4 linked regions of the Yarrowia lipolytica genome follow. The main gene of each other region encodes a partner of the protein of the gene in region 4 in a complex. Links are inferred from orthologs where the notes say so. Each region holds a gene or a part of one and is shown on either strand. Other genes may lie near its edges. The genes, in order: YALI1_A05491g, YALI1_C14516g, YALI1_E17583g and YALI1_B18207g.

Region 1 (7,803 bases), on a different chromosome or scaffold from region 4:
TGCATTTTTGGGCAAGTTATAGAGATTGTAGTGGAGTGTACTTGTTCAACTATGTACGATAATTAGAAGGTTTTTGAATTTTTGATGGACAATACGAACACTTACGCTGGGTGTTACGTAAGGCTTTTTCAGCAACCAATGGAAAGGGAAAAGGGAGGTGTCCAAGGGAGGTGTCCAGAAATGAGCGTCGTGGGGTATTTGGCAAGTAGTATGAAGAGGTCGGCGATCGTGGTCAGGAGTGGTGCACTTTTTTTTAATCAGTTGATTCGTTTAACAGAATCTAGTGATTATATGATGACTTTTTTGAATGTTTTCGGAAAATCAGAAGAAATCATATCAAGTCACAGAGAAGAAATCAGATCGAGTCACAAAAACACAATCACTGAGTCAAGTATGTACATACGAGTAGATATCTGTGTTTCATCAATGTAGTTTTCGAATCGAAAATATAACATTCAAAGTAGATGTTGATTCAAGTATCGTAAAGTACGTACATACTGTGTATCGGTAGTTGCCTTCACTTCTGGACAAGGGTACAAGTACAATGTGTTATGTAGTGCGGCATTCGTACTCGCACTCGTATCGTACATTGTTCCTGTATTCCTACTGGATACATCATATAACCCGTTTTAATACCGCTTATTTTGTCTCGTGCCAAGGACATCTTTTTTCCCCCATTATTCCCCAATTCCCACAACAATCCTGAAAAAACAAATAAACTCGCCAAAAACAGGCCAATTTAAATTACGTGACGCAACACGATACAGCTGATGCGCCAACATCTCTGTTCGTCCATCAACCACACCTCACACCGTCACTTCCACAATGCCGCCCAAAGGACACAAAAAAACCGCCGACGGCGACTTCCGACCCGTCAACTCGGCCGGTAACACGATACAGGCCAAGCAAAAGTACTCGATCGACGATCTCCTGTACCCCAAATCAACCATCAAGAATCTGGCCAAGGAGACACTGCCAGATGACGCCATCATTTCCAAGGACGCGTTGACGGCCATCCAGCGAGCTGCCACGCTGTTTGTGTCGTACATGGCGAGCCACGGAAACGCGTCGGCCGAGGCTGGAGGCCGAAAGAAGATAACGCCCCAGGACGTTTTCGTGGCCCTTAAGGACGTTGATCTGGCTCAGTTTGTGCCCAGTGTGACCCAGAGTGTCAACGAGTTCGAACAGGAAGTTGCACAAAGGAAGAAGGACAAGGTTGTACGCGCCCAGGACGACCAGGACCATATTTCCAGCTCAGAGTCGGAAACCGAGGCGACAGAGGAAGAGGGCAACAAAAGAATTAGAACTGATGAGTAGAAGACGAGAAGGACAACGTGGCAACAGGACATTTAGATGCCATACTGAAAGATGCGAACATACTCAACACGCAGCTACGTGTGGTCAAGGTCACAAGCAGAAAGCCCTGATTGCAGTCAAAACACACTCTCCACCTGGCGCAAAAGCACAACCGACACATACGTTATCGCACGATAATAACCACTTACATACATGCCGCAACGGCATCAATACATGCACATTTATTTGATACACAGCAAGCCTACTGCCGTGCACTTGGGGCGGGGGTGTCTTAGATGCCCCGTTGTCATTGCCAGAACCCACGATGTAAAAGATCTGGACAGTTGCCCATATTGAATAATGAGCATGTCTTGATTCGCGTCGTACAGCACGACCAGACTATATGTTCTGGTCTCTTTCCGGTGACTCGAGCCTGTTTGTCATCCCAAGAGCGAGCTGACGAGTTCCACCAAATAAGGCAGCTTGTACTTAATGGTAATGGTCAGATCGACAGCTCAAGGCCTTTTGGTAATCTTGGAGCTCGACGGGTTGTCGTCCTCCGACTTGATGGCGATATCGGAAGGACCGTTCTCGTTGTCCTTGACATTGTAGCCGTGTTCATCGTGTACTCGAAAAGAAGATAGATAAAGGTTGATGGGGATCTTCAGGGAGGATAGATGTATTCGATGCCGAGAATAGTTCGTCCGTGATGGCCTTCCTGTTGTTTGAGCCGATTGTCATAAGTGTTTGAATACACGAGCAGGATCGAGATGAATGACTGAACACACTTGCCGCAGTGGAAGATGAAGATGCCTCCCAAAGAGTGTGACTTGATGGCACTTGTACTGTACTGGTTGCTGGTATCATGTAGATATAGTAAGAACCATGGGCTTCTCACCTTCTCCTGAGTTTTTTGTAAACCAGCAGAAATCAGCTCACAATATATAGCAAACATATGTCGGCGAACAGACTACGGAGATACTCTACAACCATTGCGTTACATTCTATTATACAATACATCCCGTTCTTTCTTTTAAGCCATCTCAACGTCCTCCTTGACCTCTTCGGTCACCTCTGCGGTTGCGCTCTTGGTCTCCTCCTTTACCCCGTTCTCTCCGATCCACAGTACGTTGTTGCATCTGATGAAAACGTCGCCTAGCTCGCCCTTGTTCTCCTGGTCGACATACTCCACTGCATCCTCCAGCTGCAGGTTCATATAACTGTCGACGGAAACAAGTGTGCCCTGGTACTCGGTCTTGCCCCACTTGAGGTGGACAATGACGGACTTGCCTGTGAGTTCTTGCAGAAACGGTTTGGGGTTGGTGGGATTGAAAGGGGTTGACTGGGTTAGTAATGATAGTAGAGGAGATGATGTGCGTGGCGACGACAGATGATTGTGGGCGAATCAGTTGTGAAGCGGAGGTTAACTAAGCATGGTTGAGGAGAGCTAGACCACACATGTCACTAGTGTATATGCGGTTCACCTCGTTCGAGCGAGACAAGAGCTTGCCAAGGAGTCAGCTGCAAATTGGACCATTTCCAGTGCCTCACTTTCCCCTCATTCACGGTTGTAGAAAAACGACATTCCATTGCTGTCACACCACACAAACACAAACAACATAAAAATTGCATGACTTTCACGGCGGACTCTTGATATGGGGTTTCTCGGAAAAGGCTTTGCGTAGCAGACAATATCAAGCCTAGACGCAGCAGTAGTGTCACCGTGTCGTCCTTCCATTCTTGTAGATGTTGAGTTGAATCCAACTACAAAACGAGAGATCAGAGACACAAGACCACAAATACTTGCAGTCCATACCTCGGTATCCATAACCACTCCAATACCCCGCTAGGTACGCCACTGGTCCAGCTCTTCAAACAGCATTCCTGTCTTGACAGCATCAGACCTCGTCAGTATATGGTCCCCTCTCACACCCCGTCCCTCTCACACCCCGTCATTGTGTCTGCCTGACTACCAATAACGCATATCCATCATCTGTAGCATTTCCACTGCTCAAAAAATTCATACTCACCATCCTTGTTGTGGTAAAATGCTTGTTGTAGAAGTGGTGATGATGGCCGTGATCTGAGGGTCTACACACTGATACTGCAAAATAAGGTTTCCTGAATTTTGAAGAAAAAAAATAATTGCGAATTCTGTGGATCGAACACAGGACCTCCAGATTTCAAGACTGAGAATTACTTCAGTCTGGCGCTCTCCCAACTGAGCTAAATCCGCCGCGATTTCGATATTTTTGGATCAATCTCAGCAGTCAGCATTGTCGAATTATGTAATCATGATTGCTGATATATTTACCGGTCAATAGATGAAACAAGAAGAATACGTGAACAACCATACACGAATGCCATGCGCTCTTCTGGACAACTGAATCCAGATCCGATTTGCAGGTATAACAGATGTACTCAAGTAGCTGATGTATTTCCCCAGCATGAAAAAAAAAAAGAAAAAAGGATAACATAAAGTCCTCTGTTCCCTGTATTCTAATATATCTTTCTGCACGGTTACGACAGTGTCCATACCTTCAATATGGCCACCATTTTTTTATATTCTACTTTTTTTATTTTTTATTCTAATGATTCCTTTCTACTGCGGCTGAGTCATCAGTCTGCTTAGTCAGAGGTCTGGTTATAAAACGGGAATATCTCCAGGTCCCTTGGCCCAGTTGGTTAAGGCGTCGTGCTAATAAGAAATAGCCACTTTGCAACGCGAAGATCAGCAGTTCGATCCTGCTAGGGACCATTCCTTTTTGCTCCTTTCAGAACCGCAGATGGTCAGTCGCAAGCGCTTCCTGTCCTGATGTTGCTATCTCATTCTCTTCTAAATGGTTGTGAGAAGAGAATGTTATCGGATCGGACCCGCTGTGTTTGCAAGCAATGTACAAATTTCCATGTGGGGTTTCATTGAAGTCTTGATAAAACCCGAGAAAGAAGACAATGGCCCATTCCAAAGCAGTCAATGGCGTCTATTTTGCTACTTGGAGAACCGATAGCCCCCACACGCATTTCACGGTTGGCTCCCCCGCGTTTCTCGTCGACGACGGAAAGGTCCGAATCTAGTGCTAGCGTCCAGGGTATGAGCATGGCTCCCATGTCCGGTTGGATATATGGAATTGCTGCTTACTAAAAGGAAGTGTGTTTATGAGCGATGAATGGCCTTTCGGGACCGGAACTTCCAGATATTGCTGGTAACTGCTAATCGACACAGCTCTCGTTCACGCTAATGAGTGGTGTAATCTCGTGAGTTAGGTAGTAAATAGCAGTACAGTACATCTTGAAGTTGTCGAACTGGTGAAATTTGTACCTTTTGGCGACCAGTTGCCACACTCTCCTAGGTCGAACGAGAAAGCTCGGGTCGATAGATGGGTTGTAGTTCGATCTCTTAAAACCCGTTTCGTGAATTACTCTGAATTCTCCAACTATCGGATCAGAGCCTGGGCCTATTTGAGCCACTTCATGTGTATCGTATGTGTGTACATTGTAGTCATCAATTCATCCGCAAGGATCGCGGTTGTTCTCCAAGTACGGGTGCGGACTGGACTCGTATCACACCGAAGGACAGAGTGGTGGGTATGTTTAACAGTTCAGTGCAACGTGAAGGACTTTCAAGGACGACTCTACTAATTTACAACTCTACAACTCAAGAACTCAAGAACTACACAACGACAATTCACCGACAATTCAACGACCCGGCTCATAAAAAACAATCCAACCACTTGATAACAACTCAATCAATCCAAGGGACATATAAAAGTGCACAGTACATACAGTACTGTACATAGTGTACGCAATTTAGCCGTATCCGCAGTAGATTATGGTAAGTACCGTAGTCGTAGTACGTATATACTACCAAAACACCTCACACCAACATCTGACGATTGCATCACTCACCAGACTCGAGCACTCCTAAAACTGACCTCATGCACAACCATTTTCTGCCCATACCTTCAACTTTCGGCGTAGTCCGACCTCGTTCAGACCGCCGTGAGTGTCAGAGTCACGTCTGAGCAGCACACTAATTAGATCAACGCGTCGCGCCAAACTTTAACGGAGCCGCATGTGGTGAACCCCGCGCGGAAATCACATAAAAAGATAAATAATAAAAAACACCTGATCTGAAGATATTGTCATGGCCAAGAACACGGATTCTGCGACTCCCCCGACAATGTGACTTCCACAACAGCGAAGACAGACTTGGGTCGGGGTGAGGTGACGCGCGAATATAATGATCTCGCCAAATGTGATGTTCAATGCCATGTCAACCCGATTATCAGATCAAAGTGCTTCTATCTGGCCAACCTTGCAATGACAATGGTCAAACCCCCATCCATGTCAGAAACGGGCATTTTCGCGGGCCGAGTCGCTCCGTGGGAAACATGACGTGTCTGGGTCGATTGGAGTATCGCAAATACATACAAACGCGGCTTGAGTCCACTCGACGATGACGTAGTGGACGCATATTACGCCGCATTGTTAAACTCAACATCGTGAAAAGTAAAGTAAAAGAAAATGAAAAATAACAAATTACAATGGGAAAAAATAACATCCACCGACACGCGAAAGGAAAAAATGAGACTTGATGAGATTCAATGAGGTCCGATGAGGCTGGATTGATGCGTGGAATCACCAACCAATCGTTGTATTGCTAATGGCCGTGTCGACTCTCTGAACACACCTTGTCTCGCTGTATGCATCCCTTGTGCCATTTCAGCCGCACAGATCAGAAGTGTATGACACGCCGACGATTCCATGTCACAAACTCCACAATCAGTCATACCTACTTATATCAAATAAATAGCATCATTACCGTAATTATACGTGTGTACGGTGAGTCAGAGTCAGTCTGAGGCAGCCGAGCGTCCAGTCCAGAAAATAGTCTACTTTCCCTTATTTTTCGCACTTTTTTATTATGCTCATCTCACCACAAACTCTACCCCAAACCATATATTTATCGCCGTTTCTCTCCACACATAACTGCACTCGCACTTTGAGACATCCCCCCAATCACCCTCTGCACTACGCCATGTCTCTAATACACTCCAATGACTCGTCTTCCGTCTGGCTGGAGACGGTGTCGAGAACGGTCAAATGCATTGTGTCCGTCTACTTTCGCCACCACGAGGCGGTGGAGTTTGATCACCCGCTCAAGTCCGAAGCCAGTGGGTTTGTAGTCGACAAGGAGCAGGGCATCATCGTCACCAACCGCCACGTGATTGGGGCCGGCGTCTTTTCCGGCAAAATCAAGTTCCACAACTTCGAGGAGTGCAAGGTCGACGTGCTCTACTGCGACCCCATCCACGACTTTGGTTTTCTCAAATTCAACCCCAGCGACATCAAACATGTCGCCATTGGAGAAATCAGCCTGCGACCCGATCTCGCCAGGATCGGCACAGAAATTCGAATTCTCGGAAACGACAGCGGACAGCAGCTGTCCATTCTGTCTGGCTTCATTTCCCGAGTCCAGCGAAACACACCCCACTATGGAGACCACACCTACAACGACTTCAACACCTTTTACATCCAGGCAGCAGCCAACGCCAAGGGCGGCTCTTCAGGCTCCCCTGTCATCAACATTGATGGCCACGCTGTCGGGCTCCAAGCTGGAGGAATGACCTACTCCACCACCGACTACTTTCTGCCTTTACAGCGAGTCAAGAGAGCTCTCGATATCGTGCGTCAGGGAGGTCTGGTCACCAGAGGATGTCTGCAAACCATCTGGGAGCACACATCATTCAACATTTGCTCACATTATGGCCTGACAGAAGACCTCGAGGGCCGAATTCGAAAGAAGTATCCTGATAATGTCGGCATGCTGGTTGCCAAGCATGTGGTCAAGGACGGCAAGAGCGACAAGAAGATTCAGGTTGGCGATATTCTTGTGTCTGTGGACGGAGAAGACATCATCGACTTCGCTGTGTTGGACAGTATTCTCGACGAGTCTGTGGGCAAGTCTCATTCCATTGAAGTGTTCCGGGACTCGTCTCTTCTCAAGTTTGATGTGGAAGTGGCAGATCTGCATGCTCTCTCTTGCACTGAGTTTGTCAAGTTCGGAGGCATGACTTTCCATAACATGACTTATCAGCTTGTCCGATCTACCAACGAGCCCATCGATGGAGTTATTGTCGCTTGTGGAGGCCCCACTGATGTCAACTGTCGGTCCAAGCTGTACAAAATCAACGGCAAGAAGATTTCCAATCTTACTGAACTGAAGGAGTTCTTCAAAAACGCTGTGCATGGTAAGTCCTACGCGTTTGAGTTCCGAATGATCAAGACCACCACGACCAACAACCAGTCGGTGCGGTTCGATCTGCATTTCTACCCCGATTTCGTCTGGGCCCGAAAGACTGGCAGTGTGTGGACTATGGAGAAGCTCATTGTTAACGGTATCAAGAACACAACTATTCTTCCGTCAGTTATCAAGGGTACGAGCGTTTCTCAGATCGAAGGAGTTCCCACCGAGGTGGAAGGGTCTGCTGCTGCTTCTGAGACCGT
Region 2 (7,373 bases), on a different chromosome or scaffold from region 4:
CCCTTCCGCAGCACCTTCTTTGGGTCCGACACGGCGTCGATGTCGGTTCGATGCCAGTTGTTGGGGTCTCGGATAGGTCGGTCCTTGTCAAAGGCGTCCTCTTTGATGAAGAGAATGTCATTGTCCATAATGACTCGCACTCGGTTGTCACCAGGGATCTGGAAGGCCGTTCGAGTGTACTGAGCTCGGCACACGGGCTGCAGAGAGTTTTCCCGGATAAAGTCCTGGATGTTCTCCACAGACTTTTCGTAGCCCTCGACTTGATAATCGGGCACGTGCGAAGATTTCATCTTCTGGACAGTCTTCTCCATGTGGTAGGTTCCGTTGATGAAGCCAGCAATGTACTTTTCCTTGATGGGGAGTCGCTCATCGCCGCCTGCGATGGAGTGGTCGACGGTTCGCTTCTCAATGTAGATCTGAGAGTCCTCGTCGGAAGTCTTGCCGGCCCACTTGAGCCGCAGAGAGGGAGAGGTGTCATTCTTTTGTAGCTTACCCTCGTACAGCTCAAAGTCGGAGTTGTCAAAGTAGAGCGACGTCAGGGTGGGATCAACAGAGTCCTGCGAGTCGTTCTGGTTGTTGTAGACCAGAATGGGAAGGTGACGCAGAATTCGGGTCTTGACCTCCATCAGATTGTCGGAATGGACCCAGAACTTGTACGAGGTGTAGTTGAGATCCGAGTCGTTGGTGTATGACGACAACTTGGCGTTGATGGACGCCGACTGGCTCTGGGGAGCCTGTTCTCGAAGGAACGAGTAGACAGCAGAAAGCCGGTTGATAAGCGGCGAGTAGTCTTCGCTGTGGAAGGGCAGGGCCTTGAGTCGCACCTGCAGCAGAGGCTTAACCGAGTACTTGGAGTGTAGTCGGTCGTGCTTCTTGACAATCTTGGTGAAGCCGGTGAAGTTGATTCGGGAGAAGTGCTCGAGCTGCTGGGCGCTCTCAAGAATGTCCTCGATGGTGTGCTCCAGGTTCACAAGATCAATCTCCTTGACCTCGACAATCTGCTTCTCAATCTCGCCAATGGCGTCGGACAGCTTGTTGTACATGTTGGTCTGGAACGAGTACACCTTTTCGAGATCGGAGTCGAGCGCCTGGACGAAGCGGGTCTCGTCGGACTCAGACCACTCCTCCTTGTCGTTGGGCACAACATTCTCCCGGAGAAGTCGCTTGAGCGAGTCGTAGTTGATGTAGTGGTCCTTCCACGGCTCGTAGATTTCGTTTTGAAGGCGAACGCCGAAGAGCATCTGGGTTAGCGGGGTTCTTTGCTTGAGGGTTTCTAGCCGACCGAAGCTCGGTTGGACGAGACTCAAGGAGTAGAGCATCCTCGGCACCCCGAGGACATGATTGGCTAGTCACAGACGAGTTGAACAATAATAACGACATGTCAAACCAGCAACTAAAGTGGATAGTTCTGGTGGACACAGATGCAGGGACCAGGATCACAGCAAGGGTATATGAACAGCGTCGGGGAAGATGTGAGATGTGGTCGGACATCGAGTTTTCTTGGGAGTCGCATACATGTACGCAGTCACCCCCACTACCACATGGAACACTGTACCGCAAGGACACTGTAGTTCCATGAGACATACCTGGATTCAGGAAATGGTTGTACGAGGAGACCACAGTCGAGATACGAGGCACTGGCATCAACAGCTCCGACACAAACCACTGGCGTCAGCTGTCGACACCATGGCCGCCATGTTTCTGTGTTTTGCTACCGTTGCCATGTCTCTCTGTCATCAACACCTCGCCCCTGTGCACTCCGTCATCAACACCTCGCCCCTGTGCACTCCGTCTGTGTCACTAACCCCCCAACGTCATACTCACTTTCAATACGGTTCTGATGATGAAGAGGAATTGTCGTCGACAGTGTCCCCCAAGTTTAGTGGTTGGCGGTGCATAAAGTTTGTGTTAGTGTCGACAAAAGGCCGATTTGGCACTAGCGGAAAAGCGCCGATGAAGAGACGTTTTGAGCGCCTAATTTTGACACAACGACTCCAAAGGCCCGCAGCTGTGTTTCGCCGTTTTCCGAATGCCGACATCTGTCCTCAAAGGCCCTATTCGACGACCTTCAACAGCTCCCCGCCACTGCCGCAAGATGCCAATATAGTTTTCGTATCTGACAGAAAGTATCACGGGCAGGAATAGGACCCAGTCATAACAGACACTTATAACGTCGCCGAGAGAAAGGCGAGACGAGATCCAAGATGACCATGACACACTCGAAAACGGGCGACTCCCGGTCACCGGACAACCCCCCCCCCCCAGAGAGTCACCCAAACATCCTTCGATCGCGGCACCTCCCAAATCGTATCGAAAAACCAACCGAAACTCTGTTCAAACTGCATCCTCAAACAAGAAACAAAAGTGATTTTTACAGCTTCAGAAATCCAGAGTGAAGAGCTGAGATGAATACAAGAACAAGACAATAAAACTGATATTGGCACATTTAAATACAACCCTCCACTCCGAGCCCCACTCAATCACGTGACCCCAAATTCCGGTCCACCACTCTTCTTGGTCAAATCACCTCGCACAATCGTACATATCAAATGCAGTTGTCCACCCACGTGTTGGCTCACCACATTCATGATTGGAGGGAGGACGCGACGACATCGGAGGGACCGTGAGAAGTGAGGTTAAGAGCACAAAAAAGGGGGATTATTAAGTACTTTTGCTGATGAATCCCAAATAGAAGGAGTTGATTTCCCCTGTTATTTTTCCTCCATTTCTGATCTCCTATCTTTCCGGACTTATCATATTTCAAATTAAAAATTTAGAAACATCGAAACTCCAACTATTTTTTATTTTTTATTGTTCTAGCAGTGAATTTTATCGAAACTAAAACAATTATAAAAAATCACACACTAATTAAAATCAATAAAAACACTCAACGAAACCAAACAAGAGAACAAAACTACAGCATTGCTCGTCAAACCACTACAAAATCCATATATATCACGTGACTCCCTTACCCTTCTCTCTCCCACCAACACTCTGCTGACTAACAAACTCTAGACTGCAGAAAACTTCACGTGACGGCTCCATCTCATCTCATCTCACCAGCACCACCACATTACACAAGAATGGGAACCAGCGTTCCGGAGCTGAAAAACGTGAGTACGGCAGCTAGCCAGCGGGATTATTTTCGGTCACGTGACTAACACAGTACATGGACAAGCGTCTCATTGTCCATCTCAACGGCGAGCGTAAGATCATTGGTGTTTTGCGAGGATATGATGTGAGTATTGAGGAAGGAGAGTACGATGATGACCGAGGTACTGATGGATAGTCAGATGGAGTAGTGACAGAGTCGAGCTGTTTTGACTAGCGCTGGATTGAGATCTGAGATGTGTCTCTACGTCTAGAGACTGACAGGTAGAACGAATCGACTCAACCAGAGCTCTACCACAGAGATATATACCTGGTGGTTGGACTACTGTCAACAAACTGGATATGAGTTAGCTGGAGACAACTGGACCTCCGCGAATGCCGACACATGTCATTTCAGCTCGTTTCCTACTCGGTCAATTCTTCTCACATGTCTGGCTGGTCAACAAAATCCTGCTCTGTCTGAGTTGTTTCTGAACATCATCTGTCTCAATGAACAGCCCGGGCCTTTAATGACTGTCTTCAACGAATCTAGACACAACGGATTCCGCGCATTATTGGTCTGTCAGCCGATTTTCGACTTCATTCATCTATGATGCTCCCACTACCGCTACGTACTAACTCAGGCATTCCTAAACATTGTTCTGGAGGAATCTGTGGAGGAAAAGGCCAATGGAGACAAGGTACAGGCCGGCATGGCTGTGATTCGAGGCAACTCTGTGGTCATGCTGGAGGCCCTTGAACGAATCCAGTAGACCCCGTCTACCTTGTATAATAAATTATTCAGTATTAGCGATGTGAAGGAGATTCTCTAGAGCTGAGGGACACTAGCGCAGTCAGAAGTAACCCCGCTGGAACTTGAGAGAGAAACGTAAGTAGTACCAGAAGAAAGCTAAGACGACTGGCCCGGTTCGGTTCAGGGCAACAGATCTGGAAAAAGGGTTCCTTGATAGCTCCAGTTCATTTCTGATTGGCCGCCGGTTGAACACTCGGGACCGAGTCTGCTCCACTGGTACATTCGAGTCGGTATTCCTGCTTGCCTGAGAAAGAAAGACCTTGAGGATCTTCTTGGTATCCTTGGCGCACCGGTGCTGGGAATCGATGGAAGTCACCGTCGGCTCCATATAGCCCAAGTCCACTCGGGATTAGAAACAGCTGTAGCAACAGAAATCCCACTTTGAATGTCAGTGAGACCCTCAAGCAATTTTGGCGGAACCAACAGCAATCTCAGCAGCGCCGAAGTAGGAGATCGCCTAAGAACTAAAGAGGGGAGGCTGGCCAATCCATGAGAGCACGTGATAAAATTCAAAGCGGTCACATGTTGCAGCTCTAGGCGAGCACGTGATGACCAGGACGACAAATGAAAGGGTGAAAGAGAGAAGAGGAAGATTCGAAGCATGACAATGACAAACAATCTTCCCTCAAAGTCTCGTGATGAGAAAATCCCACAATCTGTTCCAAATGGTCCAGCTGGTTTCGAGATGGTGGTAATGTTGGTGAATGGGGCTGTGAGGGCTCAGCGAGAGCAGAACATGTAATGTGATATATCACGTGAGTTTCCAAGTCCGCCTACTGAGCTTTATCTCTCTGTTGACATCGATTCCGATCTGGTGGATCCTGTGGACTGGAAACGTACTGGTTGTTAGGTGGAAGCCATGCTGATCATTATGAACCTGACTCTCTGGAGGTTTTAGTCGAGTGTAACAAGTTAGGAAGAGAGTCCATCAAAAATTATTCAGCATCTTTCCAAGTACCCAGTCCCTAGATATGTAGAAGTATTTGGTCACGGTAGGCGTGCCGTATCGACCGGGCTGTAGTCTGTAGAGACGAACTTACTAGGATACCAGAACAGGGTCTACTGTCATTTGGTCTTCTGAGAGTTGGGGTTCTGTCCAGAGCTGGTAGAAGATTGATAACTTGCCCCAGATTCTGTCTGCGTCTCGACCAATGGCCATCTTATGTTAAGGGTTCATGTCTTCAGGCAAGGTCATCGAGTCACCATAGATGATCCCCCACCAGTGTCGCCGACGAAACACCCGGTCGATTCAACGCTAGACAATCCGTCGACGATGTTTTACTCCGTTTTGCAGCGGCTCAAATAACCGCCCCACCAGTCTCTGACATGAGCATATGGACATCGGAAAACGCTGTAGAACATTGTAAAACAGAGAGAAACCGACAATAAAACACAGGACTTTGTTTCTGTTACTTTCTCTCAACTCATCCTCAACTGAGTAGGTCTCGACTAGAGAGATCCCCCAACAGCCAGATAGGCAACATACTGATCTGCTCGTTTCAGTAAAGGGTTCCTTCAAGAGTCAATAAGCCTTAGGAGACAAAACCGCTCCCAGTGGGGAAATACTTGGCCAAGAGCCCCTAGCAGACACTGGAGATGAGAATCCCCCGTTGGGAATCTTTGAGGATTTGTGTCATTAACGACCCAATTGAACCGCTCTGGATACGTCTTATTGAGTCCCCAACACCTGTCAACACCGAATACAAGACAGTCTAACCGCCAGTCGTCGTAGATCTGTCCTTAAACAGTGCACAACATAACACACCGATCCGAAAGTCCGAAGACGTGAGAAGTTCGGAATCTTGCGTCGAAACAAAACTTAAGGACTTGAATCAATATGTGGGTGATAGAGAAGAAAAAAAATCGATTGCACTGTCCACTGCTGAAGCCGAGTGCATGGCTCTATCTGAGGGTACCAAGACTGCTATGTGGCTAACTGAGGTCTATCAAGACTTCGGTATTCCCATGGAACCTAAAGCTGTTGGGATCCTAGTTGACAACCAAGCAGCGATGCATATTTCTAACTATCCCCAGTTCTATCCACGAACCAAGCTCATCAAGCGACGATATCACTTTATCAAAGAAGCTGTGAATAATAGCGAGATTACTGTGTCATTTGTGGGGGCTGGCAACCAACTCGCTGATTTTCTTACAAACCCACTTGTCTGGACCACTCTCAATCCTACTCTCCTAAAGATTGGAATGAATGCAAAGACTGGATGTAGTTGACACTTTTAACGAACCAGCCTAGAGGGATATTCAAGATCATAAGTATTATTGATGAGATATAGTTGATAACAACTTATAACCCACTTCTAGGGACACCACGTTCCATAGTAGCACACACCCCTCTGGTGTGTGCTTGCTCCTTCACCAGAAAGAGATTCTAGATCAGTGGATAAAACTATCTGCAGAATGGACATCTTGTTTACGACCCATCTGATTCCTCTCATCACTATATGGTGACTTTTCATCATTATGTGAGTAATTAGCCAGGTATTACCCCACCAGGCATTACCTTCAACAATAACCCCCACCCCACATAAGCGAGAACTTTATAAATTGTTTTTGCATTTTTCCTGCGGCTTATTTTTCGATACGAAATCTTAAATGTTCCAACCTCTTCATTCTGGTGTCTCTCGATATCCCCCAAAACGCATCCAAATTGAGTTTTTGAGGTTGTTTTTTGGAGAAACAGATGGTATCTGATTACTGAGCAGCTTTTTTTTTCAATGTGACGGTCAGATTAACTGCAACAGTCGTATGGAGAAGTTGTTGAGTCAATATTATGTGGCATCATTGGTCTCCTACTTCATGTAAAAATAAATATATATGAATCTAGCAATATCTTGTTATGGATACCTCATGCTTCGCTTTGTGCCTGTGAACGACTAGCACTACGAGATTCTACTACATCTGCTGCCACAATATCATGAATGTAAAGAAATGAAACAATAGCAATGACTCATACAAGCCTTACCAACAGTACATGCTGCTTAAAGCTAGCCATATGAACTTCATCATGATATTACTTCCTACTCAAGTTGCCTTATTGTTCATCATTTCATTTTTCAAACACTAGTCTTTATGACAGTACCACTATCCGCTCTAAACACAATCATCACATTAATACTTGATATTACAAAGTCTAGACTATATGTCACTTTCATTCCTGTAATTATTACATTATCACTTTATCCTTTTTGTATTATTGGAATTGATTGGGATTCTCAAACTTGCATTTATGGCATCATTTATGGCATCTCTCTAGATCCACCGGAAAAGTTGCAATCACCCTGATCCATGTGTAGTAACTGGTGGCATAAGCACCAGTCTCAGTTGTCAGCCACTTTCCTACCAACCTTCAGTCACACCCATCCTCCAGCCACTCCCATCCCCGGTAAAAGGACCGTTGTCATGTTCCAGCTCACTGTGGCTAACCCGTTGGTGGACATCTTCAACTGGCAAA
Region 3 (7,294 bases), on a different chromosome or scaffold from region 4:
TGGGTACGATTAAGCGCCCCCGAAAGCATCAAAGTGCTCGACAATGTTGCATATTTGGCATCGGCAGACGCTCTCTCTGCCCTCGACCTTTCTTCAGACGCCCCCAAGGGGATCAAATGGAGCCGGCGATTTTCCGACAATAGCTCAATCACACTCAAGAATGACCACGCGATTGTGCAGGAACAAAGTGTGTCGTACGGGTTCAATTTGAAAGACGGAGGTCTGTCATGGGAGAGCCATGAGAAGGACGTGCTCAAGGAGGGTGTTATTGTGACCACAGAGGACGACACCTATGTGGCACAAGCTGACAACGCTCTGGGATCAATTAGGCTGTTCAAGCTCAACCGAGGAGTGCCCGAGGAACAATGGTCCGCTACTGCTGATCCCATCAGAGACCTGGCGGTGGTCGATATCAGCACCGGGGAGGGAGAGCAACAGGAGATCAACACTTCGGTTGTTGCTCTTGAGGACGGACGGTCCAGCACCAAGGTCCGGATCATTTCTAAGAACTCCGACAAGTCCATCACCATGGGTCTGTGCCAGCGACTGATCAAGTTCCAGCCCTTCGCCTCCAAGTTTTTGGTTTCGTGTATCATCAGCGAAAAGGTGCACCTGACCCTGATCGATCTGGAGTCGAAGAAGACTGTTACCACCAGCGTTATCGGCCAGGAGGGCCAGGTTCATGTCTCTGGTGCTGATATCTTTGTGCTAGGAGATGACAAGCTGTATAAGATTGATCTTTCCGAGTTTGCGCCTGTTCTCATCGGTGACATTCCCCATGGAAAAGACGCTGTCATTTCACTCCAGGAACAGCTTGTGGTTCAGGACTCTGCTGCAATTGAGACGTTCGACTACTCTCTCAACAAGAAGGCTTCTGTGGCCCAGATTCCCTTTTCTCTGACATACACTGGGTCTGACAACTTCCTTGTTGCCTCTCCTACGTCTCTCAACGTCCTCACTCCCGAGGGTAAGTCTCTGTGGTCTTCTCCTGTCCTCTCGTCTATCATCACTGCTGCTTTCATTGACAAGGATGAGGTCAAGGCCGATGACGCTTTTAACATCAACACCGACCCCGTGACCGCCTTTATCAACCGAATCCAGTCCCACGTTGCCCAGCTGCCTCATCTTATCAAGTGGTTCTCTTCTCTAACCCTTGACGTTCTGGAGGTGTCTACTGACAACGACCACTTCTTCGAGAAGCTGCTGATTGTGGCTACTCCCTCTGGTCTCACTGCCATTGATACCACCACCAACACCAACGCCTGGGAGGTGGATATTCCAGGTGTCACCAAACTCACCTCTGTCGCTAACGGAGTTGTTGCTACCACACCCAATGGAGACATTGCTTACGATGCTCACGGAGTGGAGTTCAGTGCTCCCGAGTCTGACTCGGAGTACACCGTCAAGACCACCGGAAACATTATTCAGGGATACAGGAGCGGCCAGCCCACCTGGACCTGGAGTCCTGCAGCTGGTTCCATCGCCAAGACCGTGTCCAAGAATCTGGACGACGAGTCTGTGTCTATTGGCACTATCCTCGGAGACCGAACCGTGCTATACAAGTACCTGTACCCCAACGTAATTGCTGCTGCTTCCGTTGATGAAACTGCCGGAACTCTGCTTATCACTGTGCTCGACTCTGTTACAGGTAACACCCTGTACCAGTCTATTCACAACGACGTCAAGTCCTTCAGCGACATTGTTTTCGGCGAGTACTGGATCACCTACTCTTATGTTTCTGGTGGTGCCCTTCCCGGTGCCAAGCTCGTCACCTGCGACTTCTACGAGTCCACTACCCCCAATGAGCGAAAGTCCACTGACGAGATGTCTGCCTTTGACATGTTTGTTCCCGAGACCATCTGCCAGGCCTTTGGCATCGAGTCTGAAGTTACTGCTCTATCTGTCTCCAAGACCACCTTTGGTATCACATCCCGAGATGTCATTGTCGCTCTTGCTGACGGACGAGTTGCCTCAATCCCTCGACAGGCCATCAACCCTAGACGACCCGTTGGACGAGCTGCTACTGCTGCTGAGATGGAGGAAGGTCTGGGAACTTACGATCCCTTCCTTGCCATCTTCCCCCAGATGCTCATTTCACACTCCTATTCTCTAAAGGGCGACATCATTGTCACCAGCGGAGCTACTTTGGAGTCGACTTCTCTGGTGGCTGTTCTATCCACCAACGGAGACATTTTCTTCACCCGAATCTTCCCTTCCACCGCCTTCGATCTCATGAAGCCCAATTTCAGCAAGAAGAACCTCGTGTACACTGTGCTGGCCCTGGGTATTGCCGTGCGATACATGGGCCCCGTGGTCGCCAAAAGACTCAACAACCAAAAGTGGGGTGTTGGTCTCATTGAGAAATAAGAAATAACGATAATACATGTTTGACTAGATGCCCTTACTACAAAGTAGAACGTGCCTTACTTCAGTATATGTAAACCGGCTGTCCATAGAGAAACCGCCACAGATCCAAAGTGTGACATGTTCTGATTTGGCTGCCTTGGTCTATTCTCTCACCCATACATCTCACCTCAAGTGGTCTGAGGGTGACTACTTGGTGCTGTTTAATTCCAATATTGAACTCATTACTCTGTACATATTTTTATTGAACGTTTACTGGATTTACTCCTTGTCGGTGGAATCGAAAGGAGTGAGGTCCTTGGTGGCCTCCTCCCAGGCAACATCGTCGGCGGTCATGACGTTGATGGCAGCAATGACGGCGTCGATGGAGCCTCGAACCTGTCGAGTGGAGTCTCGCTCTCGGAGGGTGACAGAGTTGTCCTTGACAGTGTCGAAGTCGACGGTAATACCGAAGGGAGTTCCCATTTCGTCGTTTCGGGCGTATCGCTTACCGATAGAGGCAGAAGAGTCGTCGACCTTGGCGGAGATTCGGGCCTGTCGCAGCTTCTTGGAGACCTCCTGAGTGAAGGGGGCCAGCTCCTTCTGGGAAGAGAGAGGAACAACAAGAACCTTAGTGGGGGCAATTCGAGGAGGGAAAGAAAGCACACCCTTGGCTCCGGAGGCGTCCTCGGGTCGAGTCCAGAAGCAGTGCTCGATCAGAGAGTAAAGGATTCGTCCGATACCGAAAGAAGGCTCGATGACGTTGGGAGTGTAGTCTCGAACGTGGGTGGTGATGGTCTTTTTCTCAATCTTGATGTGAGACTTGTCAAGCTCGGTGCCGGCAACCTCGACACCCTCAATCTCGGGCAGGACGATCTTGCCGGCCTCAAGAGCCTTGGCAAGATCCTCAAGCTCGCACTGGGTTCGGGACTCGAACCACTCCTCGACGGGCTTGGCGGCCTTCTTGAGCAGAGGACCAAACTTCTTCTTGTCGTATTCGCAGACAAACTTGTCCTCGACGAGAGGAGCGTCGAGCTTCTGCTGAACCTGCAGCTTGACCTTGGTTCGGGCCTCGTGCACAGACAGATCGTAGGCAGATCGGTCAGCACAGCCAACACACTCGATCCAGCCGTAGGAGGTGTGCAGCTCGGCATCCCAGCAGTCGGTGGCGTAGTGGGCCATCTCGTTGGACATGTGCTGTCGGAATCGGAGTCGGTCGGGGTTGACACCAATCTTGATCAGGAACAGGTAGATTCGAGCAAGGAAGTATCCGAGGGTCTTGTTGTCAACGAGACCGGTCTCAACGGCCTGGCCGATGGTCATCTCCTGGATGTCGGTCTTACCAGCGGACTGGACATCCTTGGCGAGGAATCGCAGCTTGACGTCCTTGACCTCGTCGAATCGGTGGTGGTCCTTGTCCAGAGGGTCGACAAAGTGCTCAATCTCGGCCATGGTGAACTCTCGGACTCGCAGCAGACCGGATCGGGGGGAAATCTCGTTTCGGAAAGACTTACCAATGGAGGCAGAGGCGAAGGGCATCTTGGTGTTGTTGCAGTCCAGCAGCTTGTTGAAGTTGAGGAACTGGCCCTGGGCGGTCTCGGGTCGCAGGAAGCCCTTGAGCTTACCGGAGGGGCCGATGGCAGTCTCGAACATGAGGTTGAACTCCATGGGCTTCTCAAGGGGACCGCCGGTGACGGGGTTGACGATCTTATACTTGTCCATGATCTCACCAAGCTCGGGGCCGGAGAAACCGTCAATCTTGGCAAGAATGGTCTCGTACTCCTCCTTAACATTGTCATCGAGCTTGATGGCCACAATCTCCTTGACCTTCTTCTTTCGCTTCTTGGCGGACTCGTCCTCAACAACGTCCTCCTTGATGCCTCGGGCCTCCTTGTCTCCCTTGAGTCGGGCCTCGAGCACCTCCTCGACCAGATGGTCGGCTCGGAAAATCTCGCCGGAGGCCAGATCTCGGCACATCCAGTCGGCAAACTTGTCCACGTGGCCAGAGGTCTTCAGAACCTCGTGGGGAGTCAGCATGGTGGTGTCGACCTCGAGCATGTCGTCCTCGAGCACAAAGTGATCTCGCCACGTGTCGATGATTCGGGTCTGGAGAGCACATCCAGGCGGGCCGTAGTCGTAAAGACCGGAAACACCGTCGTAGATCTCAAAGGCTGGGGCGTAGAAGAACCGTCGCTTGAGGACGGCATCAAGAGTCTCTCGGTTGAGCTCCTGGTCGGCGGGTCGGGTGGACATTCTAGCGGAAAAATTCGAACTGACTGAGAATTGACGTATAAAATGGGGGGTAGGAATCAGCTTCCTACGTAGCAGATTTAGTGAAGTCACAATGGCAGTAGTCGTAAGAGTGGACTGGAGTTAAATTTTCCAAACTTTGCACTCTTGTAAAAAAAAACAACGGGGTTTGGGAGTAACAAGAAAAGGGTGCGTGAAAGTGACCCCAGCGCAGTATGCATTTGCTGTCAATGAGAGATAGATGATAACGAGTCCCTCGTACAAGTCGTAGAGCAGGCGTGACTACACCGGAATTGTGTTTCCCGAGAGCTTGAATCCCATCACACATCTATAACAAAGAAAAGACGTCACTCTTTGTGACTCACCATGTCTCATCCATCACCCGTACTCGTACTTACATGACCCCCTCCGACAGGCCCTTCCTAGAGCCAGAATTAGTTCCTGCCTCAGATCATTGAAGGTTCTAGTGTGTCAATAAACACCAAAAGGGACCGACTGGACGCAGACATAGACAGACTTTGAACTACTTGTTGGACAATGCCATTCCACAGGGCTCGTTTTTTCTCGCCCGGTATCCCCTATGGGTTCATATTCGGCGATATTCCGGGCCTGTCCAATTGAGTTAGTCAGGGTTCCAGAGCATTTGAACAATGCAATGTAGAGTTTGAGGTTTGTACCCATATACGAAAATGTACTGGAAAATCAAATAACTTGGATATATGGTGGGTAGAGTGCCAGATATATAGCTATTGGGGGAATTTACCACATTTATGTTTTCCCGCGTCTGATCAAGTTATATTGTAAATCGAGTTGATGCACTTTTACTTGTATTCCTATTTAATTTGTATTCTATTTTATTTATATTATATTATATTATATTATATTCTATTTTATTTTATTTTTGTATTTTCCCACAAACCTCCCACTCACGTGACCTAAATATATCCCTACCTCTGCACCAACTCAGCACATTACACACACATCATGGGATCTATCTTGCTGCCTCACCTGAACACGGGCTGGCACGTGGACCAGGCCATCTTATCGGAGGAGGATCGACTCGTTGTCATTCGATTCGGCCGAGACCACGACCTCGAATGCATGAAAATGGACGACCATCTGTACTCGGTGGCGGAAAAGATCAGAAACTTCGCGGCCGTCTACGTGTGCGACATTGACCAGGTGCCCGAGTTCAACCAGATGTACGAGCTGTATGACCCAGTATCGGTCATGTTTTTCTACCGAAACAAACACATCATGTGCGACTTTGGCACCGGAGATAACAACAAGTTGAACTGGGTATTGGAGGACAAGCAGGAGCTCATTGACATCATCGAAACAGTCTATCGTGGAGCAAGTAAAGGTAAGGGTCTGGTGGTCAGTCCCAAGGACTATAGTACCAAACACAAGTTTTAGAGAAAGGTCTACTTGTCCACGACGGGATAACTCTGCATCATAGAAAGATTAGTAATTTATATGTAATATAGCCATAACTACGACGTGAACGGGAGTTCATAGCGTGCACCATGTGTTTGAGGAATGTATGCCATGTCTTTACAATCCCCTACGTACTCAGATCATCCAATAATATGCTGGTTACTATGTACTGTTTTTGCGCTACCAACGCCTTCTCCGTGTCTCCTTCTACGTCGCCTATTTCTTCTTCTTCAGGTCGGACTTCTTCTTCTGGACCTGAACTCCAGACTTGGTCTCGACGAAGTCCTGACCCAGCAAATCGGCAAAGTCGTCGTCGACCTCGCCGAAACCAAACTTCTCGTTGAACTTGGACATCTGCTTGCCCTCCTCTCCAGAGTCGGTCTTGAGCTCGGGCTTGTTGGGGTTCCAGAGATGCACGTTTCGCTGATCATTAATGGGCTTCAGCTGCTCCACGGGGGCCACGGTTCGTCGCTTGTAGGTGGAGCCGTCGGACAGCTGGACGGTGCACTCAAACTCGTGGAAAACGGGAGCGATGGTCTGTCCGAAAGCGAGTCGCTTTTGTCGCTTGGGCGCTCGCAGAATCGAGGCGTTTCTGGCGTTCTTGATTGTCGTCAGGGGGACGGTAGCTCGCTTGAACATGTTTGTGACTGTGAAGTGATGTACCGTGATCCGAAAATTCACTAACACAGTTTGGATGTTGCAGGGTTAGGTTTTTTTCAGACGAGGTAAAAATCAGCTATACAGGGGGTCGTGAGTTCGACTCTTTGGTATGAGCATAACAAGAGTGCTTCTTAAAAATACATTAAATACCGTAAAATACATACAAGTTGTACAAATAGTACTACCATTCCTTGTCCTCGTCCTTGCCCTCGCCCTTGCCCTCGCCATTGCCCTCGCCCTTGCCCTCGTCCTTGCCCGTATCCTTATCTTTATCCTTATCGTCAATTCGCTGCTGAGAAATACCCGACAGGTCTCGCAGGCTCTTGACGTTGTTAAGATGAAGACTGAACATGTTGAGATCAGGGTCCTCCACAGGGGGCTCCGAAGAGGATTCGGTAATAACAGCCGCCTCTGTAGTCTCGGGCTGCATCTCGGGGTCCACAACCTCCACAACGTCCTCTTCGTCGTCCTCAGCAACCTGATTCTCTTCAACATCACCTTCAGGTCGCTGCTCTTCCTCGGCGTCAAAGATGGCCTGCACGGTTTCGTTGGAGTTCTCCCTAAGAATAGTTCCTCGGACCTTGGCTCGGAGAGCCTTTCGAAT
Region 4 (8,152 bases):
AGTGAAAAACGTCGGAATTTAAAAAGTGCGGGAAAACGTGATTTTCCGGCTATCAATGTTCCATTACTGTTCCATACATTCCATACATTCCTGGGATCTTCTTACCGATAGTTGCACCTCTATATTAAGCAATCATTATTGTAACATCGGAAGTACTGTAGCAATTGGACGCCAGGGGAGCACAGTCTACAGTACGAGTACAACAAACGACTATAAAAGCTTTCATAGAGCTGACTATCCGCGCATGACCCTTATTGCTCTTGACCGGCCGGTTGAACGGGAGGGTGACCGATTTAGAGAGTTTGTGTTTCCAAGGATCCAATGTCAATTGCGGGGCTATAGCAAACTGATTGAGTCCGATGATGAAAATCCTTGGGCTCGAGCACATTTCTGTCAAGTCCGTTTGTCAAGATTATCGTCCGGAAAGGGCTCTACTACGATACCTTCACCTCGAGGTTACATGCAAGATCCAGGCCAGCCAGTAACGTAACATCAACTTGTACATTGAATATGAGACGAACAGTAAAAGGTATGGCCAGCTGTGAATGTTGCTCGTTATTTCCACTTGTCTGCGAGAGCCGTATATACTGTTGGCATAGAACGAACACTCCATAAGTGCCATCGCGAGCATCGCGCAGGACATTACAAACCGATTCTGTCAAGTACATACCAATGTTGGAGCTGGAGCCTACCATTCTCGGTTTTCACTTTTCAGAATTTATAATCGTCAGCTTGTATTGTAGAAATCACACCCCTCTTGCCAAGTTCAAGATAACAAATAGCACATATTTGTAGTTTTACAAGCACTTGTACAAGTAAGGATCGGAGTATCATATCGAATCCACGTGCAGGGCGGATCACACCCAAGTACACCCCTTCCCCCTATTGTTGACGTCAGTTGGGCCACACAAATAGTACTTTATAAATGATCACAGTAATACAAATTACCAATTACAAATTACCAAAAGTACAGTACATACTGTTCTACAGTTAGGGTGCTGCCAGGGTTGAAGTGTCTCTTTTGACATATTAATCAACCACAGGCGTCCATATTCACCGCTCCGAATTTGTCACATCAACAGCCCTGCAGTTCCTCACAGCCTGTCACGCGATCACCCCCAGTATGTACCAGTACGAGTACAAGTTACCGAAATTACAAGTACAGTAACTATTTAATAAGCGACGTATGTACGGTAGGCGTGTGTTGATACTGTAGCAACAAGGACCGTGAATACAGTGCAATGACATGGCCGAGGGACACACTGCACTAACTCTGATACTGTACAGTCGTACTTACTGGCGATACGGCTACAGTACGAGTAGCACAGACTCGAAACCACGATACCCCTAGCCCCTATCGAACAGTGTGATACATCGCATAATTCAATTTTACAGCATGTACAGTGCTTGTAGACCAGGCTGGTCAGGGTGGTGGGGCTAAAACGTGCCAGATTTTCCCATCCCAAGTTAATTAATAAGTCAGCCCGTTTCATCCCGCCCAGATATGCTTAGTCTAAGGTACGACGAGCTACGACCAGCCCTTAATTATGAACGACAGGCGACCAACAGATATGCAGTGCGAGTGAGAGCACAAGCAGAAGCACTGTACAATATGCAATGGACAAAGCAAAGGGCTTCCAGTTCACATGTTTCCCAGATGTGGGCGCTTTTTGGTCCTCTTTCGGCCCCGCTGTCGCTCAGTGCTACCAGGATATACACACTGTACTCAGCCCTGTTCAACTTAGACCACAGAGTTCGGCATATGGTGGGATCCGTCTTATGCAGGTCCATGTACAGACAGGCCCCAACGGATATATAGTGGAGTCGGGCCGTACTTGTAAGGTGTATGAGCGTGTATTTTTTCACCGCGTGTACGGCTCTTTCAAAAAAACACGTTTGAATCGCCACTTCTTCACCTTTAACGCGCTTTGTCTTTGTGTCGAGCTCCACAAGCCCCCTGAAGACAGATCTTCCAAACAAAAGGTAATTCGCACATCTCCAACAAACAACACTATTTTCGACCGTCTAAAGAGCCACAAAAACAGCAAATGTCGTCCCTCAAGCGACTCAGCTACTACCGCACATCCGAGTCCGCCAACCCGAGCAGCTTCGAGTTCATCGAAACGGCGGAATCCGCACAACCAGACGTCCACATCAAGGTGGTGGTGGTAGGAGATGGAGGCTGTGGAAAAACATGTCTGCTGGTGTCGTACTCGCAGGGTGTCTTTCCCGAGCGATATATACCGACGGTCTTTGAGAACTACATAACCACGCTCAAGGGGCCCAAAGGAGAGATTATCGAGCTGGCGTTATGGGACACAGCAGGACAGGAGGAGTACGACCGGCTCAGACCACTCTCGTACCCAGACGTGGATGTGCTGCTGGTGTGCTACAGCGTGGACTCGCCGTCATCGTTTGAAAACGTGGCCGAAAAGTGGTTCCCTGAGGTGACGCATTTCTGTCCAGACACGCCAGTGGTGCTGGTATGTCTCAAAACCGATCTCAGAGCCGATTCCACATCCGCCCATTATCTCAAAGCTCAGGGACTGAGCCACATCACGCCGACGCAGGGCAAATCCATGGCACAGAGACTCGGAGTGTACAAATACATGGAGTGCTCATCAAAGGACATGTCTGGCGTTAGAGAGGTGTTTGCAGTCGCCATGGGAGCGGTGCTGAAGGAAAAAGGGAGATCAAAGAGAACCAAACCTGTGCGATCACAAAGTAAAGGGGCAGCGGCAGCAGCAGCGTCAGCCACACGTCCAAAATTACAATCCAGACCAGCCTCGGAACCGATCGAGAAGAAGAAGAAGAAGAAACGACACCAGTGCTTGGTGTTGTAGAAAGCATCAACCACAGCTAACAAGGGGTGATATAGTAATGCATTATGATGAGAAGGATACAAGAGGGCGCGACGTCTGTGTAACGGCAATGAACGGTAGCAGCCGTATTATTATATGTACGAGTACATATAATGTAGGAGTTGTGTGGTAGCTCTACTTGTGCATACTGTGCCAGTGGCCCAGTTCATCTACGGAGGTACAAACTGTAGAGTAGAATTTTTAATCCTACAAGTAGATACTTGTACTATAGACCTAGATCACATAACTCGAAATCTGAAAACCGGCCATTTACTCATCTCAAAGCACTCATCAGTTCATTAGAATACATTTATAAATAATCGTCTGCAAGTCCATCAGGCCCTTACTCGTAACTCGCAACTCCAAATTACACTACTCTTTGGTAGTGTCTACCTCGATGTCTCCGTCCTCCGTCTTCACCAGATCCTCATTCACGGTGTTGTAAAAGTGGCTCCACATTTCTGCGAGCTCTTCAGACTTTTGAGACAGGCCCACAGTGTGTTCCAACGAACGGTTCAGCGCGTTCAGGTTGTTGAGCACGTCTTCCATGCTGGCCGAGATGTTTTTGATGTACTGGTCCCGTTGTCGCTCGAAATAAGACCGTTTGTCTTCCGTAGGAAACATGCTGACTCTGCTCATGTTTTTTTTACAGGGCTTCCAGAGGAACTTGAGTGTCGTTCAGGAATACTTGTAGTTGTGATAACGCGTTTCACGGTGTCTTTGCACTTCGAAGTCCACTGCATATCGGAACTCTAAGTGTTCGAAAAGATCATAACTCTAAATATTGCATCCTCCCTCAATTACTGTATCACCATCAAAAGGCTGAGCTCACCCCCACAACGACATAATGGGCCTGGCTGACGAAATTCTGGCCGATTTTGGCTCCAGCGACGAAGAAAATGAAGAGGTGGACGAGGTGATGGAAGATGCGACTTCCCAGATCCCAACTGAAGTCATTGCAACCGAAACCACAGAACCTCTGTCGCCTACTCCACTCAATAACATCAACCTGGACCTGCTGGGGTCCACCAACTCGGCAGCAATGGTCCCCAGACTTCTGCCACAACTCAGAAGCATTTCTCTGTACGAAAGTGGTGCCACTCAGTCAACTCTCGCACTCACATCAAATCTAGAAGAGAATCCAGAGTACCATGTGATTGTGGGAGCAAACGAGTACTCGGTGGAAATCGACAACGCAGTAGCTGAGCTGCACAACTTCATCGCCACTAGATACAGCCAGCGGTACCCCGAGCTCAGATCACTCATCGCCAACCCACTACAGCATGCACAGGTAGTGGCCATTCTTGGAAACGATCCCGCAGCAGTGGCAAAGTCAGATAGCCCGCACTTAAAACAGGTGGTGCACAAGTCAGTGATGATGACTATTACCATGACTGTGGACCAAGGGGGACGACGACTCTCGGACGTTGAGATGGCCACTATAAACGAAGCTTGTAAGCTACTGATAGCATTGGACGCTGCTAAGCGCCAAATCACTAACTATGTCTCCTCGAAACTGAACCTCGTTGCACCCAATACGGCCATTCTGATTGGTGCTCATTGTGCAGCTCAGATTCTTGGATTTGTGGGTGGTCTCAACGGTCTGGCAAAGACCCCCTCTTGCAACATACCTTCTCTAGGAGCTAAGCGAGAGACTGCGGTGGGGTTTGGACAAGCACAAAGACAGCAGGGTTACTTGTATTACTCGGATGTGGTACAACAGAGTCCTGCTGATATCAGAAAGCAGGCCATGCGAATGTTGTCAGCCAAGCTAGTACTTGCAGCCCGTTTGGATGCCTCTAGAGCATCTACAGATGGATCGTTCGGATCTAAAATGCGAGAGGAGATTGAAGGAAAGTTGCAGAAACTAGCAGAGCCCCCGGAGATAAAGGGAGTCAAGGCCCTACCTGTTCCTATCGACAAACCCTCAAAGAAGCGAGGTGGAAAGCGGATCAGAAAGTTCAAGGAGCAGTTCAAGCAGAGTGAAATGGCTGCTGCTGCCAACCGAATGGCGTTCGGAGAGGCCGAAAAGACTGTGGACGTTTACGGAGAGACCGTGGGTCTGGGAATGTTGGATTCTGCTGCTGGCCTGGGATCAGCTCGAAGAGTTGAAGCTGATTCCAAGACCCGTGCAAGAATGTCCAAGGGGGCTCGATCGCGTTTGGAGATGCTCAAGAACCGTCCCAAACCTATGATCGACGGTCTTCAGTCGTCTTTGTCTGTTACGGCGCAGTCTATGGAGCTTAGTAAACCCAAGGGACCCAAGACGGCCACCCAGGATAACAAATTCTTTGCCTCAGGCACGTTCACACAGCTGGAGAGGGGCAGCGGATTGCAACTAGGCCCTAAGCGAAAAGCTGACGAGCAGAAGGACCGTGGCACTACCAAGAAGTTGAAGGAGGGTGATGGAAACTGATACTGCTTCAGCATGTAACATAAATGATAATTTATTGACCCTACCTATAGCGTACGCGCGACTAATGATGTGCGACACATATACACGTACTCGAATATATGACTGTACCGTACGAATACATACTCGTACTTACAGCCGTTATCGACACATGCTATACGTGCATACTCGTCTGGTACAACAGCTTCTCTACGCAGACAGATCAGCATATTGGCAGCATTGCAGCGGTACGACAAAGAACGTATTTTATAAAAAAATACGAGATGAAATATACGAGTATTTCACTACTGCAACACTTCTCGCTCTCTCTTTCCTTGCTTCTCATTCCTGTGTGCCCAAAATCCAACCAACGCCCCCCTCCATTCAACTCTCAACTAATGTGCGTTAGACTCATCCAACTATAATATGCTGCATTCAGGGCCCTCTATTTCTCAAGTCAAGGAGCTGACCGTGTGTCGTGAGGGAAGCCATAAAAGGTACACATGCCGCCTAAACAGAGGTTCGAGGTATTATGAGGGGGTGGTGTTTTCCTTTTCAAAATTCCGCGTATTTTCATTCATTTATCATATGTACTGTACAGTATGTACTTTCTGATGGGTGGTTCCTCCGGCAACGGCAGTGTAGCTTCTTTACTTCCGTGCCCTATGCTTACAGTAAATACAGTATATGCTTGGTTCATAATGCGGCAAATAAGCTGCCGATGGGAACAGGGTGTGGAGAGAGAGAGAGAGAGAGAGAGAGAAAGGAGATAAGCAGTTCAGCGGGTCTACAAAAGTATAGCGCGCTACTACTACTACTGTAGTGAGTGTTTAGAGTCGAAAATGTGAATCAAAGTCCCAAGTCAAGACTTGTACTAACCCCCAAGACGTCACACGCATAATGATCAGTGTACTGCTCAGTATTTTCCATTCTTAATAAAGCTCTCCAATGAAACGGGTTTAAACTGGAAAAGACATGAGGTTGGACGCTGCCAAATCCGAATTAAATTTGTGCGAGCGCACACCTCGTATTTCTGACTTTTTATAACTGGCTTTTTGAACGTGCCACTCGCACCTTGTGGAGTAAACAGAGGGATAACTGGGTGGTGTAGTTTAGAGGCGAGGAAACAGAGATTACCAACTGACTCAGAATCAAAATCTCACCAAGGTGGTGAGCACCCTACCCCTCCAACCCAACCAATACCTCAGATTTCGGACTCCGTCGATCTTGGGCCCACGAGCAACTTCGCACATCGCGCTGGAGTCTAACTCTGCCTCCTCAAACTCTCGAGAGATATATAGCTGTGGCGTGGGTCTGGAAGTTTGTAGTCTCTGAACGAAATGCGAGCCTGGGTGACGACTTTTGTGCTTTCGACCATAATTCAGGGAGTTGCGGCGGGCACTCCTTCGGCTCAAGAGCTGGGTCTTACTAAAGACCAGTGGTACGACTGGCTCAATGCACATTATGGATTGTACAGTTTCATGCCCGATTACGACTCCAACTTGGCCGGCCTCGTGCTGTTCGCCTTCATTCTGTTGACCCACCTGGCTCTCGGCGCCTTCTGGCGCCAGTGGTGGTTTGGAGTCTGTGTGTCTTGTGGTTGCGTGCTCGAGTTTCTGGGATTCCTAGGTCGATTCTTGTCACGAGAGATCTCAGTCGAAGACGAGTCCTATTACATTATGCAAATCGTGTGTCTGACACTCGCTCCGGCCTTTGTCATGGCAGGTGTTTACTGCATTCTGGCGAAGCTGGTGGTTGTCTATGGAGAGTCTTACTCAAGACTGGGTCCTATCGTCTACACAATCATCTTTGTGGTCGGAGACTGGGTCTCGATCATCATTCAGGCCGTGGGAGGAGGTCTGGCAGCGACCCAAGGCAATTCGGACTCGGGAACTTGGATCATGGTCGCCGGTATCGCGTTCCAGGTGCTCGTCATGTCAATCTTCTTCCTCTTCTACTTTGAATTCCTTTTCCGAGTTTACACGGGCAGAAGAAACCCAGAGGTACTTGATAGTCAGGCTCATAGACCTGATATCGAGGAGCTCAAGAAGGGCAAGAAGTTACCTATCTTCATTGTAGGCCAGACGATTGCTATTATTCTCATCTACACCCGTTCCATCTACCGAATCATCGAACTAGCCGGAGGATGGCACGGACGGCTGGTCATCAACGAGGTGTATATGCTGGTGCTCGACGGTCTGATGATGGTGCTAGCAACATACCTACTGGCCATCTTCCACCCCGGCTTCATGTTTGGACGAGTGCCCATGAAAGCAAACCTGCACAAGAAGAAGCTGTCAAACATGAAGGAGGAAGACCTCAACTCGAGCCACAATGACGAAGAACGTGTCGAGTGGTAATTGCATTATAGATTGTATGATAAATTATTTAATTGAGTGATCCATATTGAATGTAGGTCTACAGGTACTTGTATCATGTATTTCTTTTCTGCTACGTTTCATAATCCTTGTAGTTTCATGATACAGAATAAATTAATGTCATCATCGTCTCATCTCTCATCGACAGCAACACCTTACTAATCTTTCACCTTCCAAACATGCAACAAGGAATTAAATGCAACACTTCCAATCACACCCTCCAGACTGCGATTCCATCCCACCTCGGTCACCTTCTCCGTGTGTCCAGCGTGCACAAACAGCTTTTCCGAGCCGTCTTTCTGACCTATCTTGGAAATGTCCCAGATGATGGCCCGTTTATCTTCAGATCCAGACACCAGCAGTCGAGGATTATGCGGGGACCAATCCAACGAGCCCACAGGCCCCTCGTGACCTACCAGTCGGCCAATAGGGGTCTGTGAAGTGGATTTGATGTCCCACAAGTTGACGATGCCGTCCTCTCCAGACGTCGCGACCACCCGATTGTTAAACGGGCTGAAGGC

Evidence for each region.
Region 1: YALI1_B18207g (region 4) and YALI1_A05491g share a complex: the UniProt entries of both Saccharomyces cerevisiae proteins name them as parts of the U4/U6-U5 tri-snRNP complex. The link is inferred for Yarrowia lipolytica from reciprocal best matches to the Saccharomyces cerevisiae genes PRP31 and SMX3.
Region 2: YALI1_B18207g (region 4) and YALI1_C14516g share a complex: the UniProt entries of both Saccharomyces cerevisiae proteins name them as parts of the U4/U6-U5 tri-snRNP complex. The link is inferred for Yarrowia lipolytica from reciprocal best matches to the Saccharomyces cerevisiae genes PRP31 and SMX2.
Region 3: YALI1_B18207g (region 4) and YALI1_E17583g share a complex: the UniProt entries of both Saccharomyces cerevisiae proteins name them as parts of the U4/U6-U5 tri-snRNP complex. The link is inferred for Yarrowia lipolytica from reciprocal best matches to the Saccharomyces cerevisiae genes PRP31 and DIB1.

The regions. Positions count from the first base shown.
Region 1 is NC_090770.1:546,557-554,359, forward strand, and holds YALI1_A05491g (uncharacterized protein), read right to left. Parts: upstream 3,330-7,803; coding exon 3,327-3,329; intron 2,639-3,326; coding exon 2,330-2,638; downstream 1-2,329. Other genes in the region: YALI1_A05473g (uncharacterized protein), read left to right, coding at 826-1,317; YALI1_A05527g (uncharacterized protein), read left to right, coding at 6,221-7,803. UniProt on the Saccharomyces cerevisiae protein: Plays a role in pre-mRNA splicing as a core component of the spliceosomal U1, U2, U4 and U5 small nuclear ribonucleoproteins (snRNPs), the building blocks of the spliceosome.
Region 2 is NC_090772.1:1,448,561-1,455,933, forward strand, and holds YALI1_C14516g (uncharacterized protein), read left to right. Parts: upstream 1-3,083; coding exon 3,084-3,113; intron 3,114-3,166; coding exon 3,167-3,238; intron 3,239-3,734; coding exon 3,735-3,863; downstream 3,864-7,373. Other genes in the region: YALI1_C14498g (uncharacterized protein), read right to left, coding at 1-1,319; YALI1_C14500g (uncharacterized protein), read left to right, coding at 1,516-2,145; YALI1_C14543g (uncharacterized protein), read left to right, coding at 5,801-6,133. UniProt on the Saccharomyces cerevisiae protein: Plays a role in pre-mRNA splicing as a core component of the spliceosomal U1, U2, U4 and U5 small nuclear ribonucleoproteins (snRNPs), the building blocks of the spliceosome.
Region 3 is NC_090774.1:1,752,781-1,760,074, forward strand, and holds YALI1_E17583g (uncharacterized protein), read left to right. Parts: upstream 1-5,577; coding exon 5,578-6,009; downstream 6,010-7,294. Other genes in the region: YALI1_E17527g (uncharacterized protein), read left to right, coding at 1-2,367; YALI1_E17574g (uncharacterized protein), read right to left, coding at 2,626-4,596; YALI1_E17594g (mitochondrial 54S ribosomal protein bL31m), read right to left, coding at 6,247-6,669; YALI1_E17613g (uncharacterized protein), read right to left, coding at 6,872-7,294. UniProt on the Saccharomyces cerevisiae protein: Essential role in pre-mRNA splicing. Also essential for entry into mitosis (G2/M progression) as well as for chromosome segregation during mitosis.
Region 4 is NC_090771.1:1,817,051-1,825,202, forward strand, and holds YALI1_B18207g (uncharacterized protein), read left to right. Parts: upstream 1-3,708; coding exon 3,709-5,277; downstream 5,278-8,152. Other genes in the region: YALI1_B18190g (uncharacterized protein), read left to right, coding at 2,049-2,843; YALI1_B18205g (uncharacterized protein), read right to left, coding at 3,234-3,500; YALI1_B18236g (uncharacterized protein), read left to right, coding at 6,594-7,613; YALI1_B18260g (uncharacterized protein), read right to left, coding at 7,790-8,152. UniProt on the Saccharomyces cerevisiae protein: Promotes the association of the U4/U6.U5 tri-snRNP particle with pre-spliceosomes to form the mature spliceosomal complex.